Linked DNA regions of Stegostoma tigrinum. The protein of the gene in region 1 interacts with the protein of each later gene in a biochemical or structural test. Links are inferred from orthologs where the notes say so. Each region holds a gene or a part of one and is shown on either strand. Other genes may lie near its edges.

Region 1 (8,993 bases):
AACAATGCAGCATTCCCTCACTGAAAGGTCAGTCTAGATCACAATAACCATTCTGGTACACAGCCATACAACAAAATAGGGTACTACCACATCACACGTGATCTGTATGACTAAGTATCACACCAAATGCTATACTGAACTACTAGGGAAATATGAAAGACAAAAAACTGCGAAGAATGCAGCTTTGCAAAAGTCTGTAGGCATGTTCTTTTCCAAATGTGCACTCTTAAAAAATATAATGTATATATAAATATTTATGATTAAACCAAAATGAATAAAAAGTTGTGTGCCTTTATAAAAGCATAGTCCTATTTCAGACCTTAGAACATAAAAATAGAACACATAAAATAAATGCAATAAGCTTTATGCATCAAAAATATTGTATTGTAACAGAACTTTTTTTTAAATAAAGTGCAACAATTATTCTATCACATAAGATACAAGATAGTAATTTGAAAGGAGAAATGTTAACCAAATTACTGGAAAGATCTTTAAACACAAGTGCTTCCGATATAAAAATACTTACAACTTCAAGTTTAGCTTTTTTCTGCTAATTATGCTTCTGTATGCGTCCAAACGCATGTTACACAAGGATGTCCAATGATGCTCATGACAACAGTAAATGTCATTGCTACTAACTGACAATGCAAACATAACTTCATCTCCTGAGAAATTCTATCACCAGTGTAGTACAAGCAGAGAATCATAGAGATGCTATGCTGATCACAAAATATTAAACTCAGTGGGACTCAGATGATGTTGGAAAATGCAACAATGTTCTGCAGTTTAAAATAAATTATCCCAACTAGACAATGAGTTCAGAAACTTGAAATCACTCAAGGATATCAATGATGTTACTTATCTAAATTAGGTTCATAGTATGCGTTTAGAAATTTTTCCAATCCTGATCCGTTCTGAAAGGTACTAACCTTTGGAAGTCAGAAGTGCATGAATACCAATAGCATCTGATGCCTCAACTGAATGGCCATTCAACATGCCAGCACAAAACACTGATCCCTGACCAACTTTTTGAACACAGAAGGCATCGCACTCAATATAAACCAGACCTCACTGAGCACCCAACCTACTTCCATCACAAGGCAGGACAGACTTCAAACTCTTCCCAGCCCTCAATCAAGGGGTTGAGGTCGACTATGATAACTCGCACTCATCCTGTTTCAGCAGGAGCCAGTGAAGAAACCTGCAAGTTTTGGTTGTGTGATCCAATTTTTACACAGCAAGTAAATAAACTGGCTGGTGAATATTACCATCTAAGGTTTTTGCTTGTTTGTTAACTAGTGAGCCCATGTTGGGACAGCGTGCCTTTGACATCAGGTGAAAACACAGTGACAATCCAGATGCCAGTAACGTACTAACTCTCACTGCCCAAAACATGGATTAAAAACAACTTCAACAAGGCATCAGGCAGTGACTGGCATCGGTGGAGCCAGATCACAGTAAAGTGCTGACTACCTTCAGGGGAAGCAAACACAGGTTACTTCAGAATTCATCTCTTCACGGGCAGTTTCTCAGGATGACACATGTCCATTCTGGTTGGATGGGATCAGAGATTTCTGACAAATTCAAAATGCCATCTGCAGATCCTGGCATAGGTGGGGTAAATAGTGTTTGAACAGTCAGATAGATGACTTGTTTCAAGATTTGTGTGCATCCTCTGAAACATGGACTTTGACTCCGTATGTTCCCAATGAAATCTCTCAATGTATTCACTGCCTTCTCTTGTGGCCTTTCTGTCATGACCGAGTTGAAATGGGGCAGTTGCTTCAGGTGTCCGGTGTCAGGTACACAAACAATAGATCCTGTCTGGTGGAGCTGATTTTGAGTACTACATGTCTCAATGCTAAGCGAGTTGACTTGAGGTGGACACTACAGTTTCACCTTTTCATAGGATCATAGAATCCCTACAGTGTGGAAACAGGCCTTTTGGCCCGGCGAGTCCATATCGACCCTCAGAACATCCCACCCAGACCCATCCCCCTATAAACCACCTAATCTACACATCCCTGAACACTACGGGAAATTTAGCACGGCCAATCCACCTAGCCTGTACATCTTTGGACTGTGCGAGGAAACCAGAGCACCTGGTGGAAATCCACGCAGACACAGGGAGAATGTGCAAACTCAATGCAGCCCGAGGGTGGAACCAAACCCAGGTCCCTGGAGCTGTGCGGCAGCAGTGGTAACCAGCATGAAATCTGCAGGACAAGATATCCAGAAAAAATTTTTTCATTGCAGTCACTGGCAAAATGCAGGAAAAGTGGCAGCCAATTTGTGCATTGCAAGATCCCACAAACAGCATTCCTATTGTGGCTAGATCATTTTTTTAATTGATGATGATCAAAGAATAGTTACTGACCATCCTAGGACACCAGGGAAACTGTTTAAAACCTAACTGAAGGGGCCAACAGGGTCTTGGTTTAATATTGTGATGTGAACGATGGCATCGGTGACAATGCAACACTCCGTCAGCACTGCACTGGGAGTGTCAGCCTATATTTCACTGAAATCCTGGGGTGGGATATTGGGCCTAAAACCTTCAGATTCAGAGAACAGATCTTAAAAGAGGGGAGAAGAAAACAGATGCAAAATAGTGGAAATGCACAGACATTCACAATTAACCATGCAAATACTTCAGAAGAAAGCACAGAAAACATTCTTTGCAACAACTCACTTCAAAAGAAACTGACAAGTAAAGTAAAACTACCCCGTGGGTGAGATGCCTGGTTTTTGCCTCAAACTATAAATATTTTCCACAAGATGACTGCGAAAACAAACATTTTTGCAGCTAAAATCCACTGGGAAATTCAAAACCAGAGCTAATTGCTGATAAACCAGATAAACTTTTAAAAGGAAGAGACCATCCTCTTCCAGACCCACTGGGACAGTTTCTGGGGAGCTGCTGCTACCTTTGATAAAGTTTCACAGGCAGGATTTAAATTTCTCCCTGGCTACTCCTAGGCCCCGCCTGGGACATCCTGCAGCCCCGCCTCTCGATTTGCCTCTTCCCCGCCTCTCGGTGAGTGCCGGCTGGGCTGCCCGGCCCGAGGAAGCCCCGCTCACGGGAAAGTTGAGAGGGTAACGCCGGCAGCCTCGGTCCCCAACCCGGCACCGAACCAGATACCGCCCCCCGAATCCCCCTGCTCCGTGCCTGTCTGCGAGCCCGAGGGGGTCTGTAAAAACTCACTGTCTGCAGCCGGCAGGCGCCTGCGACTCAGATCCGGCGGCTCCTCAGAGACGCTCCAGGACAACCCGGGACCGACCGCCCGCCCGCCGGCCGGAGCTGGCACCGCTGGGTCCTAGTGCCCTACCCCCTCCTCCTGCCTGTCAGAGCTGGCACCGCTGGGTCCTAGTGCCCTACCCACGCCTCCTGCCCACCCAAGCTGGCACCACTGGGTCCTAGTGCCCTACCCCCTCCTCCTGCCCAAGCTGGCACCACTGGGTCCTAGGGCCCAATGCCCTCCTCCTGCTCAAGGTGACACCACTGGATCCTAGTGCCCACCAGCCCACACAAGAACTGGCACAAGTGGGTCCTAGTACCCAATGCTTTCCTGCCTGCCCACCCACCAGAGCTGGTACCAGGGGGTGCTAGTGCACCCCAGCCCACACACCACAGCTGGCACAAGTGGGTCCTAGTGCCTGGCAGAGCTGACATCACTGGTTCTCGTGCGCACCTGAGCAGATACCACTGAGTCTGAGAAAGCAGGAAATGCAGATACTGGACTGTCTGAGATAACAGGGTGCAGAGCTAGATAGAAGCAGCAGGCCAAGCAGCATCTTAGGAGCAGGAAGGCTGACGTTTCAGGCCTTGACCCTTCTTCAGAAATGGGGGATGGGGAGAGGGTTCTGCAATAAATAGGGAGAGATGGGGTAGCAGATAGAAGGCAGATAGAGGAGAAGGTAGGGGGAAGAGGAGACAGACAGGTCAAAGAGGCCAGGATAGAGCCATGAATGTAGGTGAATTAGGCAGGGAGGAGATAGGGAGCCTCTGCCACCATATTTACTTCTTTAACTGTGAGCCTAACCCTCCATCTACTGACCCCTTCTCCCACCTCCAACACACCCTCTCCTCCTGGACACCACCCCAAGGCCTCCTACCTTCCCTTGACCTCTTCATCTCCAACTGCTGCCAAGTCATCAATCGCCTCAATCTCTCCCCCACAGAAACTGCAGCCCTCCACTCCAATCCCAACCTCATCATAAAATGCGCGGACAAGGGAGGCGCAGTTGTAGTATGGCACACTGACCTCCCCATCACTGAGGCCAGGCAACAACTCTCCGACACCTCCTCCTAACCCCGCCTTGATCATGCCCCCACCCCCAACCACCAAACCATCATCTCCCAAACCATCCACAACCTCATCACCTCAGGTGACCTACACCCACAGCATCCAACCTCATCATTCCCTAACACTGCACCCCTCTCTTCTATCTCCTTTCCAAAATCCACAAAGCCTACTAGCCTGGTCAACCCATTATCTCGGCCTGCTCCTGCCCCACTGAACTCATCTCCACCTATCTCAACTCCATTTTCTACCCCTTGGTTCAGGAACCCGCTACCTACGTCCGTGACACCACCCGGGCTCCACCTCCTCCAGAACTTCCAATTCCCCAGTCCCCAAACACCTGTTTCAGTATGGGTGTCCAGTCCCTGTACACCTGCATTCCTTATGCAAATGGTCTGAGGGCCCTCCCCTTCTTCCTGTCCTGCAGGCCCGACCAGTCCCCCTCCACTGACACCCTCATCTGCCCAGCGGAACTGATCCTCACCCTCAACAACTTTTCTTTCAATCCTCCCACTTCCTACAAACAAAGGAGGTAGCAATGGATACCCCCATGGCCTCAAGCTACACCTGCCTCTTTGTAGGTTACGTAGAACAGTCCCTCTTCCATGCCTACACTGGCCCTAAATCCCACCTCTTCCTCCATTACATCAATGACTGTATCAGCACTGCCTTGTGCTCCTATGGAGGAGCTCAAACAGTTCATCCACTTCACCAAAACCTTCCTCCCCAACCTTAAGTTCACCTGGAACATCTCCAAAACCTCTCTCTCCTTCCTGGTCTCCTCTGTCTCCATCTCTGGCAACCACCTAGAAACCAATATCCATTCAAGCCCACCACAGCTACCTAGAATACACCACCTCCCACCCACCTTCCGGCAAAAACGCCATCCCCTATTCCCAATTCCTTAACCTCCATCACAACTGCTCCCACAATGAAGCATTCCACTCCCGTACATGTCAGATGTCCTCATTTTTCAAGGACGGCAACTTCCCTCTGCCCTCAGTGGGCAAGAACGCCCTCAACAGTATCTCCTGCATCTCATCCCTTACATCCCCTCCCCGCAATAACAACCAAAACAGAATCTGCCTCATCCTCACATACCACCCCACCAACCTCTGGATCCAACACATCATCATCCAACACTTCTGCCATCTGCAATCTGCAATCTGACCCCACCAAAGACATTTTTCTCTCTCCAGCTTTATCTGCCTTCTGAAGGGACCACTCTCTCTGTGACTCCCTTGTCCACTCCACACTCCCCTCCCATCCACCACACTCATCACTTTTCCCTGCAACCGCAGGAAGAGCTACACCTACCCCTACACCTCCCCCCTCACCCCCATCCAAGGCCCCAAGAAGACTTTCCACATCAAGCAGATGTTCACCTGCACATCTGCCATTGTGATATACTGCATCGTTGTGGCCTCCTCTATAATCGGGGAACACCAAGCGGAGGCTTGGGGACCACTTTGCAGAACACCTACGCTTGGTTCGCCATAAACAACTGCACCTCCCAGTCACAAACCATTTCAACTCCCCCTCCCATTCCTCAGACAATGTCCATCCTGGGCCTCCTGCAGTGCCACATTGATGCCACCCAAAGGTTGCAGGAACAGCAACTCATAATCCTCTTGGGAACACTGCAACCCAATGGTATCAAGGTGGACTTCATAAGCTTCAAAATCTCCCCTCCCCCTACCGCATCCCAAAAGCGGCCCAGCTCATCCCCGCCTCCCTAACCTGTTCTTCCTCCCAACTGTCCCCTCCTCCCACTCCCATCTCCTACCTACTAACCTCATCCCGCCTGCTTGACCTGTCCATCCTCCCTGGACTGACCTATCCCCTCCCTGCCTACACTCACCTCTCCTGGCTCCATCCCTGCCCCTTTAACTTGTCTGTCTCCTCTCCACCTATCTTCTCTATCCATCTTTGATCTTCCTCCCCCTCTGTCCCTATTTATTTTAGGATCTCCTTCCCCTCCCCCATTTCTGGAGAATGGTCGAGACCCAAAATGACAGCTTTCCTGCTCCTCTGAAGCTGCTTGGCCTGCTGTGTTCATCCAGCTCTGCACCCCATTATCACCAAGTTATACTGCCTGCCAGAACTGGCACCACTGGGGCCTAGTGCCCACCACCTTCTTACCAAATCTGACTCTGCTGGGTCGTAATGCCTGTCAGAGGCCATAGCACTGGGTCCTAATACCCACCATCCACCTACCAAAGCTGGCATTGTCAGGTACAAGTGAATGGCGGTCTTCCAGTACAAGCAAAAATCAACACTTGGGTCCTTGGGCTCTCCTACCATATGCTTTCTGGAGCGAGAAGTGCTGGGTCCCAGTGCCCATTCTCCTGACTACCTGCTGGGGTCTGCACTGCCAGGTTCTAGTGCTCATTGTTCCAGCCAGTTCGAGTGGGCTCTACTGGATCCTAGTATCTGTCCCCCTGGAGAGCAGTTGGGCTGGCACTAAAACATAGTAGTGCCAGTTCTTGCCAGAGCCGTACAGCTGGGTTCTAGTGCCTGCCTGTCTTTGCACCTCCCAGGGCCAGCACTGCAAGGTTCTCGTCAGTCTATTGTCAGCGTGAATGGGTACTAGTGTACACCTGCCCTCCTGGTTTCAGTAGGACTAGCAACCCTGTCTTAGTGCAGCATGGTCCTAGACCCCGGCCATTTAAGCAACACGGATTGGTGCAAGAGCTAGCCTACCCCTCCTGGGGTCAGCTTGTCTGGGTTCTATTGACTGACAATGTTATAGCTGTTAATTCCTAGTGCCTGCCCACCTGTCTGCCCATGCAGGTGACTCCTAATGCCAGTTGGATCATCCACTTCTTCACTGCAGGGCCCTAGAACTCACCTCCTCCAGTGGAAGTTCCTAGGGCCTACACACACTGTCAACAGAACTAGGTCCTCATGCATGCCAGAGCTGCAATTTACAACAGAATACATCTCATAAGCAAGGACCATCTCATCCTGTGATAGGTAACAGTTCAGTTCAAGTCACAGGAAAGCCCCTGTTGCTGTTAGCCATCACACCCTAAGAGGAAAAAAATATATAAATTTAATATCAAAGTTTTTTTTAAGAAGACAGTTACATTTGGTGATTGGCAGCTTGACCTTTATTTGAAGTTTCAGAATTCCATTCTCAAACCCAAGATTAATGGCTGCCTTCTATTATAGCGAAAACTGCACTATCCCATACAGAAAGGTTTCTGTAGTCGTGTTCAGTTAAATACAAATCACTACTATGTACAATAATGTCTCAAAGTACTTGTGGATTTTTCATAAAAATTCCACAGATAAAAAAAATTTCAAGCCAGTGTTGAAAAGTGTTCATATAATATAATTCCTGCAGAAATTTTCCTTCATCTTTTTAGCTCATAGAGTGTTCAGTTAATACAACCATAAAAGTCAAGAATTCCCTTTCCTTAATTTAAAAAAGGGGCAAGGTTGGTGAAGAGGACAGATTTTACAAAAGAATGTTAAAAAAAGGATTCCCTTTCAGTGATGGGAACTATAGATGTCCTCCCTAGAGCAGAAGAAGTGAGAAAATGCAGAGGGGAACTTGGCAGCATTAAGGGATTTCTTTGAGTGTGCTATCCTGTGTTCATTCCTTTTAACGTGTAAATAAGATGAGTTAATTAGTGTTCAACCAACTTGCATATAACCAAATTTATTTCTCTGAAGTCTTGCCACACACTGGATTAATTTAAAATAGCCTAGAGGCACTGTGTGATTACAAACACACCACCCATAGTGGAGACCCAGTACTGTCCTGTCTCTCTCATCTCCTGACACGTTTGAAGAGTTTAGTCACTTCTCAAACACGTTGTCATGGTGACTGCCAGATAAAAGCAAATTGGATAAGAAGCAGAATATTTTCCATACAAACAGGTTGACAACAGCATGCATTTGTGTAGTGCCTGGTAATGGCAAGGTTTTTCAGGGCACTTCACAGGAGTGTTTTCAAACAAAATTAGACACCAAACCATGTAAAGGGGCTCAATCAAAAATTTAGGTTTTCAAACTTAGTTTTTAAAGTGGACAGAACAAGGGAAAGGCAGGAGAGGTTCAGAAAGGGAATTCCAGAGTTTAACATAGGTGTAAAAAATTAAATGTAAAAATATAAAAACAATCTTGCTCACTCCGCTTTACTAAAACAGATGCTGGTTTCTCAGCGCCACTAGAATATTTCTTTCAATGTCACCAAGGGCTTATACTATTTGGTAAGGGACCACTGAAACTAGACAAGATAATGTTTTTTAAAAAAGTCATAAAAAACTAATTAAACAAATCAAACTGGATTCATTTGACACTTTAGCACATTAAACACTCAATCTTACTACTTGTGTGTAATGAGAAACTCTTGGTGTAAGGAAAAGATACAATCTTAAAAGTTATTTACTTGCATAAGAACCACTCACAAATAATCACCCCCTGAAGGATTCTCCTTAGTTCCAGGACTCTGGGATAAAATTTTTGTCTCTTAGCTGCAGCTGTTTCATTCTTTTGCTCCGGTTGCTTTCCAATATTTCCAAACTGAAGACCATTATAAATTTCCCCTTTTACCTTCAGAGTAGGCAGTTATCCATTTTCAGTTCCCTCAAGATTCCAATTGGGATGAAGCCTCACCAGCCTTTCACACAGTGAATGAAGAGGTTAGCTTACTTCAAAATAAAACCATGCAGTCCCAGA
Region 2 (8,039 bases), on another chromosome or scaffold:
AGGGCCACCACAGCTACATTAAACATGGGGGAAGGCAATGACTAACTGGTATTATTGATGGCCTATTAATCCTGAGACTGCCATCCTTACCTGGTCTAGCCTACATGTGACTCCAGACCCACAGCAATGTGGGTGGCTCTTAACTGCCCTCTGGGCAATTAGGGATGGGCAATAAATGCTGCCTATTCAGCGATGCTCTTATTTTGGGAATGAGTAAAGGAACTTCAGTTACTGTGCAAAATAAATCACTCACCACAAAGATACTGAGCACAATACACAGCTTAACATACACACAGTACAATAGTTTTGTTGTCAGACTAATAGTCCAGAGAGAACAAAATTAAATTTCACCCAGAGATAGCAAACTCACTCTCATCATTGTAACTAAATTGACTTCTTTTTAAAAGAAATCTGAAAATAACAAACTAGCACTAGTAAAACAACCATGGAGCTGTCAAGTTTGTATTAAGACCATATTCATGTTCACTTACACGGTCAATCTCACAAGGGCCAGGCCTAAATGTGGCTCTGGACACACCTGATAATTCTCTACAGCTCCGTCTTGTTTTCTGACAAGATACTTGGTGTCATTAAATCTTCATGAGGTCAACTTAACAACACATTCCCTTGGAACCTCGGGATGGGTAACAAATACCTGTCCTGTCAGCAACATGCGTGATGAAATAAAAAGGATCCTTTCTGTTTCATCGTGACAATACTTTGTGCAGTGCAAATACTGTAGGGATAATAAACATTACTCCAATATTTCAGAAGACTAAAGGACCCATATACAGCAGGGAAATTCAAAATTTAAAATTAAGTTCTATGTATTTAGCATACTAGCTCACCTTAACTGGGACTATAGTCAGATTCAGAGTTGGCGGAGTTTCCTGTTCTTGATCATACTCCAGTAACACTCTGTGTGTGTGTGTGTGTGTGTGTGTGTGTGTGTGTGTATGCATGTGCACGTGCACACATACACACATGGTCAAGTTTACAGCGACCCAATTGATTACAGAGGCACGAAGTCAACCTTAAAGACACCACGCACAGCCAAAACAAATGAGAAGACTAATCCACAGTTACATCCAAAGTTAATAAGAAAACACTTCTCAGCAACACCTTAATCTGAATGTTCTCATCCTCATCTTCAAATCCTCCCTGGCCTTGCTCTTCTCCTACTTCTGTGATTCTTCGGGAAATCTGCCTACTTGCTATTCTGGCCTCTTGGGCACCTCACACTTGCTTGGTGGCTGTGTTTTTGGTGGTATGGTGCACAAGCTGTGGAAATTGCCTCCTGAGCCTCACCACGTTTCTCCCCGTCCTTGTTCAACACATCTATATCCTTGACCGAGCTTTCGGTCCTCACCCCTGGCATCCTGCGATGTGCCATCGCTTCAGTGTCCAAGCACGTGCCTGCCTCGACAGTCTCCTTCGAAATGCCTTGCAGCATTTTACGAGGCTTAAGGCACCATACGAATGCAAGTGGATGTTGACTTGAGAAAGCCTTTGAACAGTCAAGAAGGAAAAGAAAGGTGTCCGGGGAGGGGGGGGAGCTCTTCCACTGAGGACATGAGGACGTAATGGTGCCATCCACAGTGCACTGAACCACAGGCTGACAATGGTCAGGAATCACAATAGGTACCTCTCAGAATTGGGTGGAAGAGAATCCTTTCAAGGACAGGGGGCTGGAGGGAGAGGGTTCAGTGTTACTGGGAATGGGATAAAACAGAATAGAAAGTGAGTGGGGGTCAGAGGAGAATATACAGAAACCAAAATCTCAGCAACTGAAGGCCATTAAATACAGATTTTATATAGATATATAAACATTAAATTAACCACACACTGAATCAATAGCTTGTGGCTAATATAATTCAAATGATTCGCCCTGTAGACTCTGTGCATTGACCACTGACCACATTGAAACAACTTCAGAGCAGTCGGTTCGAAACAGTCCAGTTTACAAATTGCTAACACCAGCTCTTTCAAAATGGGCATTAATAAATTCTTTATTGTTTAAAAAAAAAGATATAACCGAAACGCTAGCAACTCCCAGTCAGTACAAGTCAAAGGCTGGAAAAAACAATGCTGAGAGGCCCAAATATCAAAATGTGGTATATAAATACACAGAGACACACACATACACAACACAAACCGGCTAAAGAATAGCGATATTAATTCTTGAACAACACAATGCTTTTTTAAAAAAAAACAAGCGCATGATAAGTGGTTCCAAATCAACAAAGGCTCACTGATTTCCCCTCCAAATGTCAGTGGGTTAATTGTGATGAAGGTAGATGCTTTGTATTGACGGCCTCTCTGCGGATGGAGGGTTTGCATGAAGAAGGAGGCGGAAATGTACAGACAGCACTGGAGATCGCCAAACAGAAATACCCTGGGATTGGGGAAAGTGAGAACAGCAGTCCAAGTCAATTTCACCAGTCGGAAATTAACTTGGCCCGCGATCCAACCCATCCTCTGCGTCTTTTTTTTCCTCAAAAAATAAATGACATACAAACAGATCCAGAATACGTTTTAAATAAATGATTGGTCCTCTTACCTGATCTCCCCCTTTTTTTATTTGGTTACACAGCACCTCCGGGAATCCCAGCCAGAAATCAGGAAACGCTGCAGTTTTCTTTTTTTTTGCAAATGGTTACAAAGGAAATGTCTCAGCTTGTTGTTGCTGTTGCCTTGTTTAATTCAGGATCAGCGACCAATCCTTCCCCTCCACCGCCCGCCGTCCCAAGACCCCCTCCCCACACCCTCACAAACAACCCTTCCCACTAACACCCCCCCCCCCCCCCTCCCCACTCCGCACCTCACCACCGACAGACACTGGATTCAAAGGCCGGCTTCAGGAATACAAAGTAACGTGGGTTGCAAAATGTATCTCCTGGAGCGCCCCGCGATCCAACATTTTGTGTTAAAAATGAAAGAAAAAAAACGCAGGGGGACAGATCAAAGCAAAGGCTTAATGATGATCAAGAGTGAAATTAATGCTGGAAGATTGGGGCAAATAATAATTCTGAAGAGGTTCTGTCTCTCACCCACAAAACACAAACCTTCTCCGGTCAAGCTATAACAGAGAATGAGGCAGTCCAGGCCGACCTAATGCCTCGGCACCTCCCAATTGAAGACATCTAGAAAAACACACACACACACACACACGACACAGTACAGGCTAAAAGCTCCACCACTCAACACGAGCAAACTCTGGGATTCAGACTGCCCCACAGAGCGTAGAGCTTACAGTATTTACTCAACCTCATAGCTCCGCTGACATTGCAAACCCTCGCCAGCATATTCTCTCACCAACATTTTTCGTCCTGCTCACACACCACCCCGGTCCCTTCTCTCTGACTTCTCCCCCCACCCCCTTAATTCGTCTTTCTTACGACCCTTTGTGTTTCTCCCTTCGCCCTCTCCAGTTTCCAGCGCCAGGAAGCATTTGCGTTTGCATAGCGCCTGTCGCGGCCACACGCCGGAGTGTTTAATTCCCGGCGTTTTACTGAAGGAAGGATGTTGAAGCCCCGGAGAGAGTGGAATGGAGACTTACTGGAATGAGTAATTTTGGAATCAAAGGGAAGATTAGAGAAGGAGCAAATTATTGCAGATGCTGAGTGCTGAGCTGAAAGCCAATAACAAAGGAGCTTGTTTTCTTTCCACGGATACTGCCTAACCCACTCCAATTCTTGTTTTCATAAAGAGTAGAGAGATTGAGCTTATCCTCCTTGGTGCAGAGAGGTGACCTTATTGAGGTTTTCAAAATTATGAACAATTTTGACAGGGTAAAGGGGGATAACCTGTTTTCACTAGTTGGTAGATCAGTAACTAGGGGTCACAATTTCAAGATTGTCAGCAAGACAGCTAGGAGAGAGATGAGGAGAAACTTCTTTACTCAGAGAGTTGTTGGGATTTGGAATGTGCTAACCGGGAGAGTGGTGGAGGTCGATTCCATGGGAGGTTTCAAAAAGGAGCTGGATATATATCTGAAAGTGACGAATTTAGAGGGCTACAGCAACAAAGCTGGAGAATGGGATTAGCTGGGTAGATCTTTTGGGAGCCTGTACTCACTCAATGGGTTGAATGGCCTCTTTGTGTACTGTAAAATTCTATGACCTCAGGACTTTCAAAAGCCTCTTCATGGCAAGATGCGGGTATGTTGCTTTTGTGTTACCCTGTTTGTCACATAGGGAACCATTTAGACGCACAGCAAGCTCCCACAAACAGCAATAAGATAAAAACCAAAACAACTGTGGATGCTGTAAATCAGGAACAAAAACAAAGTTGCTGGAAAAGCTCAGCAGGTCTGGCAGCATCTGTGGAGGTGAAAACAGAGTTAACGTTTCGGGGTCCAGTCACCTGAGGAAGGGTTATGAGGAAGGGTCACCAGACCGGAAACGTCAACTCTGTTTTCTCCTTCACAGATGCTGCCAGACCTGCTGAGCTTTTCCAACAGCAATAAGATTACGGTCTGTGCAAGTGAAACTGTGCAAAACAACATTAAACAGGGCAAATAAGGAGAAGTACCAACAGAACCTTCTGGAAACACAATGGATCAGGCAGCATCTCCAAGGCTACAACCCCAGTTCGTAATCTTGCAGTTTTACTGATAGGTCTGGGACAAAGAGAAACTAGTCTAGGAGAGACGATGTAACTATTGTCAATTGTTAAAATAAACCCGCTGAAAAATCCAATGCAGGTGCTGGGAATAAAAAACAAAGACAGGAACTGCTGGAGAAATGCAGTTGGCCTGGCAGCATCTGTGGAGAGAACGCAGAGTTAGTGTTTCAGGTCCAGTAATTAACAGTGATAAAACTTAATTTACAAAGGGAAAAGGGGTTACATTACAAAACTTAAACTCTGTTTTTCTCTCCACTGATGTTGCCAGACATGCTGAGTTTCTCCAGTACTTGCTGTTTACATTTCAGGTTTTCAACAGCTGCGGTACTTTAGTTCTGAAAATTGGTAGAATTTTGTTTCTGCTGTTATGACTTGGAGAAAATTGCCTGAAACTGCATGTTTTATAAATTGTGTGTTGTTTTCACAGTTAATGTGCTTTTACTTTCATTCATGGGAGTTATTGATTAGGCCAGTATTTATTATCCTAAGTGCAGTGAAGAATCAACCCCACGGAATCACAAGCAGGTCAGACCAGATTAGAATAACAGATTTCCTTTTCTAAAGGGTATTGGTGGATCAGATTTGTTTTAAATCAACAATTCAACAGAAGTTACATGGTCATAATTAGACGAGCTTCTGATATTGCAGATTCCGACTAAATTTCAATTCCACTATCTGGAATTTGAACCAATATGTAGGTGCTGAGATCACTAGCCCAGTGACATTACCACATCTACTCCATTAAAAGGCTGACAGCACGTTTGATGAGAGAGACATAGTTAATGTTTCAAAATCCCTCTCCTCGGAAGAAGTTACGCTAGAGGCAAAATGCGAACTTTGTTTCTCTCTCCACAGACATTGCCAGACCTGCCAAGTTTCACTTGCGCTTAACAGTTCATGTTTAAACTCTCCAGCATTTTGTATTTAGTTTAGCCCCTACAGTGTGGGATAGGCCATTTGGCCAAACAAGTCCACACTGACTCTCCAAAGAGCATCCCACCCAGACGCACACCCCCTACCCTATTGCCCTTGGCTAATCTACTTAACTCACTCATTCCTGGGCACTATGGCAAAGCCAATCCACCTAAACTGCACAAGCTTGGGCTCCATACAGATAGTTGCCTGAGGCTAGGATTGAACCCAGGCCTCTAGCACTGTAAGGCAGCACTGCTAACCTCAGCCACTGTGCCATCCAACGTCTACAAAAATTTGCAGTGGCCTTTTGTGACACGCTCAGCTCTGTGCTAGATGGTTATAGGTTTGAGACCCACTCCTAAGACATGGGCTGCAGCCTAAGGGCCATCCTGCAATGTTGGAAGTGCCTGCATTCGGGTAAACATTTAAATTGAGGACCTGATTGATTCCTTAGGTGGATTCTAAAAACTTTCATAGGCCACTTCGTCAAAGGAGAAGCCCCTAGGTGGCCTGGCATTTATCCTCAAATCATATCGTTCCAGCCAGAAAATTGGGCCTTTCCCACCTTATTGCTTGTGAGACCTTGCTTCATGCAAAGTCGCGCCATGTTTTGACCATTTCAACAATGGTTGCCCATCAAAAATATAACATTTTCTGTCAGATGTTGCTATCACACTTTCCTTCAATCAAACACCACAGTTAACTCAACGTTGAGCAAAAGAAGAGGTGGTGTGAGGCACTTGGGAGGGAGAGTGGCTGGTGGTGGTGTGAGCTAACACCAATAACCCAGATTTATTGTCAAATAATGAACTGTGAACAGTGGAAGTCTGCGACAAAACCAGAAATTGCTGGAGAAACTCAGCCAGTCTGGCAGCATCAATGGAGACAGAAAGCAGAGTTAACGTTTCAGGTCCTGTGACCCTTCAGAACTGGCAGACCTGAATCTGCTTCAGAATCCAGGCACCTGCACTAATACCCAGGAGACAAGCATTCAAATGCCACCTGGCAGCTGGAGGCATTTCAATGGAATTCATAAATTCATCATCAATAAAATTCTAAGGTGATTTCGACTGATCATGAATCTGCCAAATTATTGTTTCAAAAACTCCATCTGGTTCACTAATGTCCTTTAGAGAAGGAAATCTGCCATCCTTACCTGGTCTAGGCTACTTGTGACTCCAGACCCACAGCAATGTAGCTGACTTGCAACTGACCTTGGTACAGACTGAGCAAGGCACTCAGATCAAGGGCATGTGAGCATCAAAAATAAGGCCAGGAGGAGGCCATTCAGCCCGTCAAGCCTCCTGTACTATTCAATTGCATCATTGCTAACCTGATTGGTCTCAACACTCCTTTCTTGCCTGCTGCTCATATGTGTTGACTCTTTTGTTGATCTAATCTCTGTCTTGAATGTATTCAATGACTCAGCCTCCTGGAAGGAGAATTGTAAATATTAGTGACCCTTTGGAAGGAGATAAATGTTGGCCCCGCCAATAACATCCGCATCCAAGAATGAATATATAAAAATCCAAAATGTGACCTGGATCTGGAAAGCTGTTGTTTCCTCTCCCTGCAGATAATGACACACTATTCCCACTCATGAAAAGATCGAGAGGCCACAGACTTAAGGCATTTGGCAAAAGAAGTAAAAGTGAACTGAGACTAAAAGAGTTTCACTTAACAAGTAATTAGGGTCTGGAATGCACTGGTAATGAAAGTGTGGTGGAGGCAGGTTCAATCAAGCTTTTCAAGAGGTACTTAGACTGTTATCTGTAAAGGAAAGTTTAGAACATAAGATGCAAGAGCAGAAGGAGGCCATTCAGCCCAATAAGCCTATTCTGTCATCCAATAAGCTCATGGCTGGTCGATTAATCCACAATTCAATTTTCCTGCCTTTTCTCCATAACTTTTCTTTCCCTTATTGATTAAAATTCTGTCCATCTCTCAGGGGTTTTGAATCTGTGGAATTTTCTATTGAGGCTGGGTTATTGTATATCATTTATTGTATATTATTGTATTTTGGGATGCAGTGGGGGGAGGCCCATTTTGAAGCTTGTGAAATCCACATTGATAAAACCAGCCCAGCTCATCCCCGCCTCCCTAACCTGTTCTTCCTCTCACCTATCCCCTCCTCCCACCTCAAGCCGCACCCCCATCTCCTCACTACGAACCTCATCCCGCCCCCTTGACCTATCCCTTCTCCCTGGACTGACCTATCCCCTCCCTACCTCCCCACCTACACTCACCTTTACTGGCTCCATCCCCGCCCCTTTAACTTGTCTGTCTCCTCTCCAACTATCTTCTCCTCTATCCATCCGCAATTTGCCTCCTCCTCTCTCCCTATTTATTTCAGAACTCTCTCCCCCTCCTCCTTCTCTGATGAGGGGACTAGGCCTGAATTATCAGCTTTTGTGCTCCTGAGATGCTGTTGGGCCTGCTGTGTTCATCCAGCTTCCAGATTCTCCAGCATCTGCAGTTCCCATTATCTCTTATCGTTG

What was found.
Region 2: the proteins of raraa (region 1) and nuclear receptor-interacting protein 1-like form a complex in vitro, tested with the Homo sapiens proteins (4 studies listed by BioGRID). The link is inferred for Stegostoma tigrinum from reciprocal best matches to the Homo sapiens genes RARA and NRIP1.

Annotation. Positions count from the first base shown.
Region 1 is NC_081384.1:11,679,577-11,688,569, forward strand, and holds the start of raraa (retinoic acid receptor alpha-A), read right to left. Parts: upstream 3,314-8,993; 5' UTR 3,206-3,313; intron 1-3,205. UniProt on the Homo sapiens protein: Receptor for retinoic acid. Retinoic acid receptors bind as heterodimers to their target response elements in response to their ligands, all-trans or 9-cis retinoic acid, and regulate gene expression in various biological processes.
Region 2 is NC_081365.1:8,055,022-8,063,060, forward strand, and holds the start of nuclear receptor-interacting protein 1-like, read right to left. Parts: upstream 3,353-8,039; 5' UTR 3,316-3,352; intron 3,308-3,315; exon of another isoform or gene 3,066-3,307; intron 2,734-3,065; exon of another isoform or gene 2,639-2,733; 5' UTR 2,561-2,638; intron 2,314-2,560; exon of another isoform or gene 2,253-2,313; intron 1-2,252. UniProt on the Homo sapiens protein: Modulates transcriptional activation by steroid receptors such as NR3C1, NR3C2 and ESR1. Also modulates transcriptional repression by nuclear hormone receptors.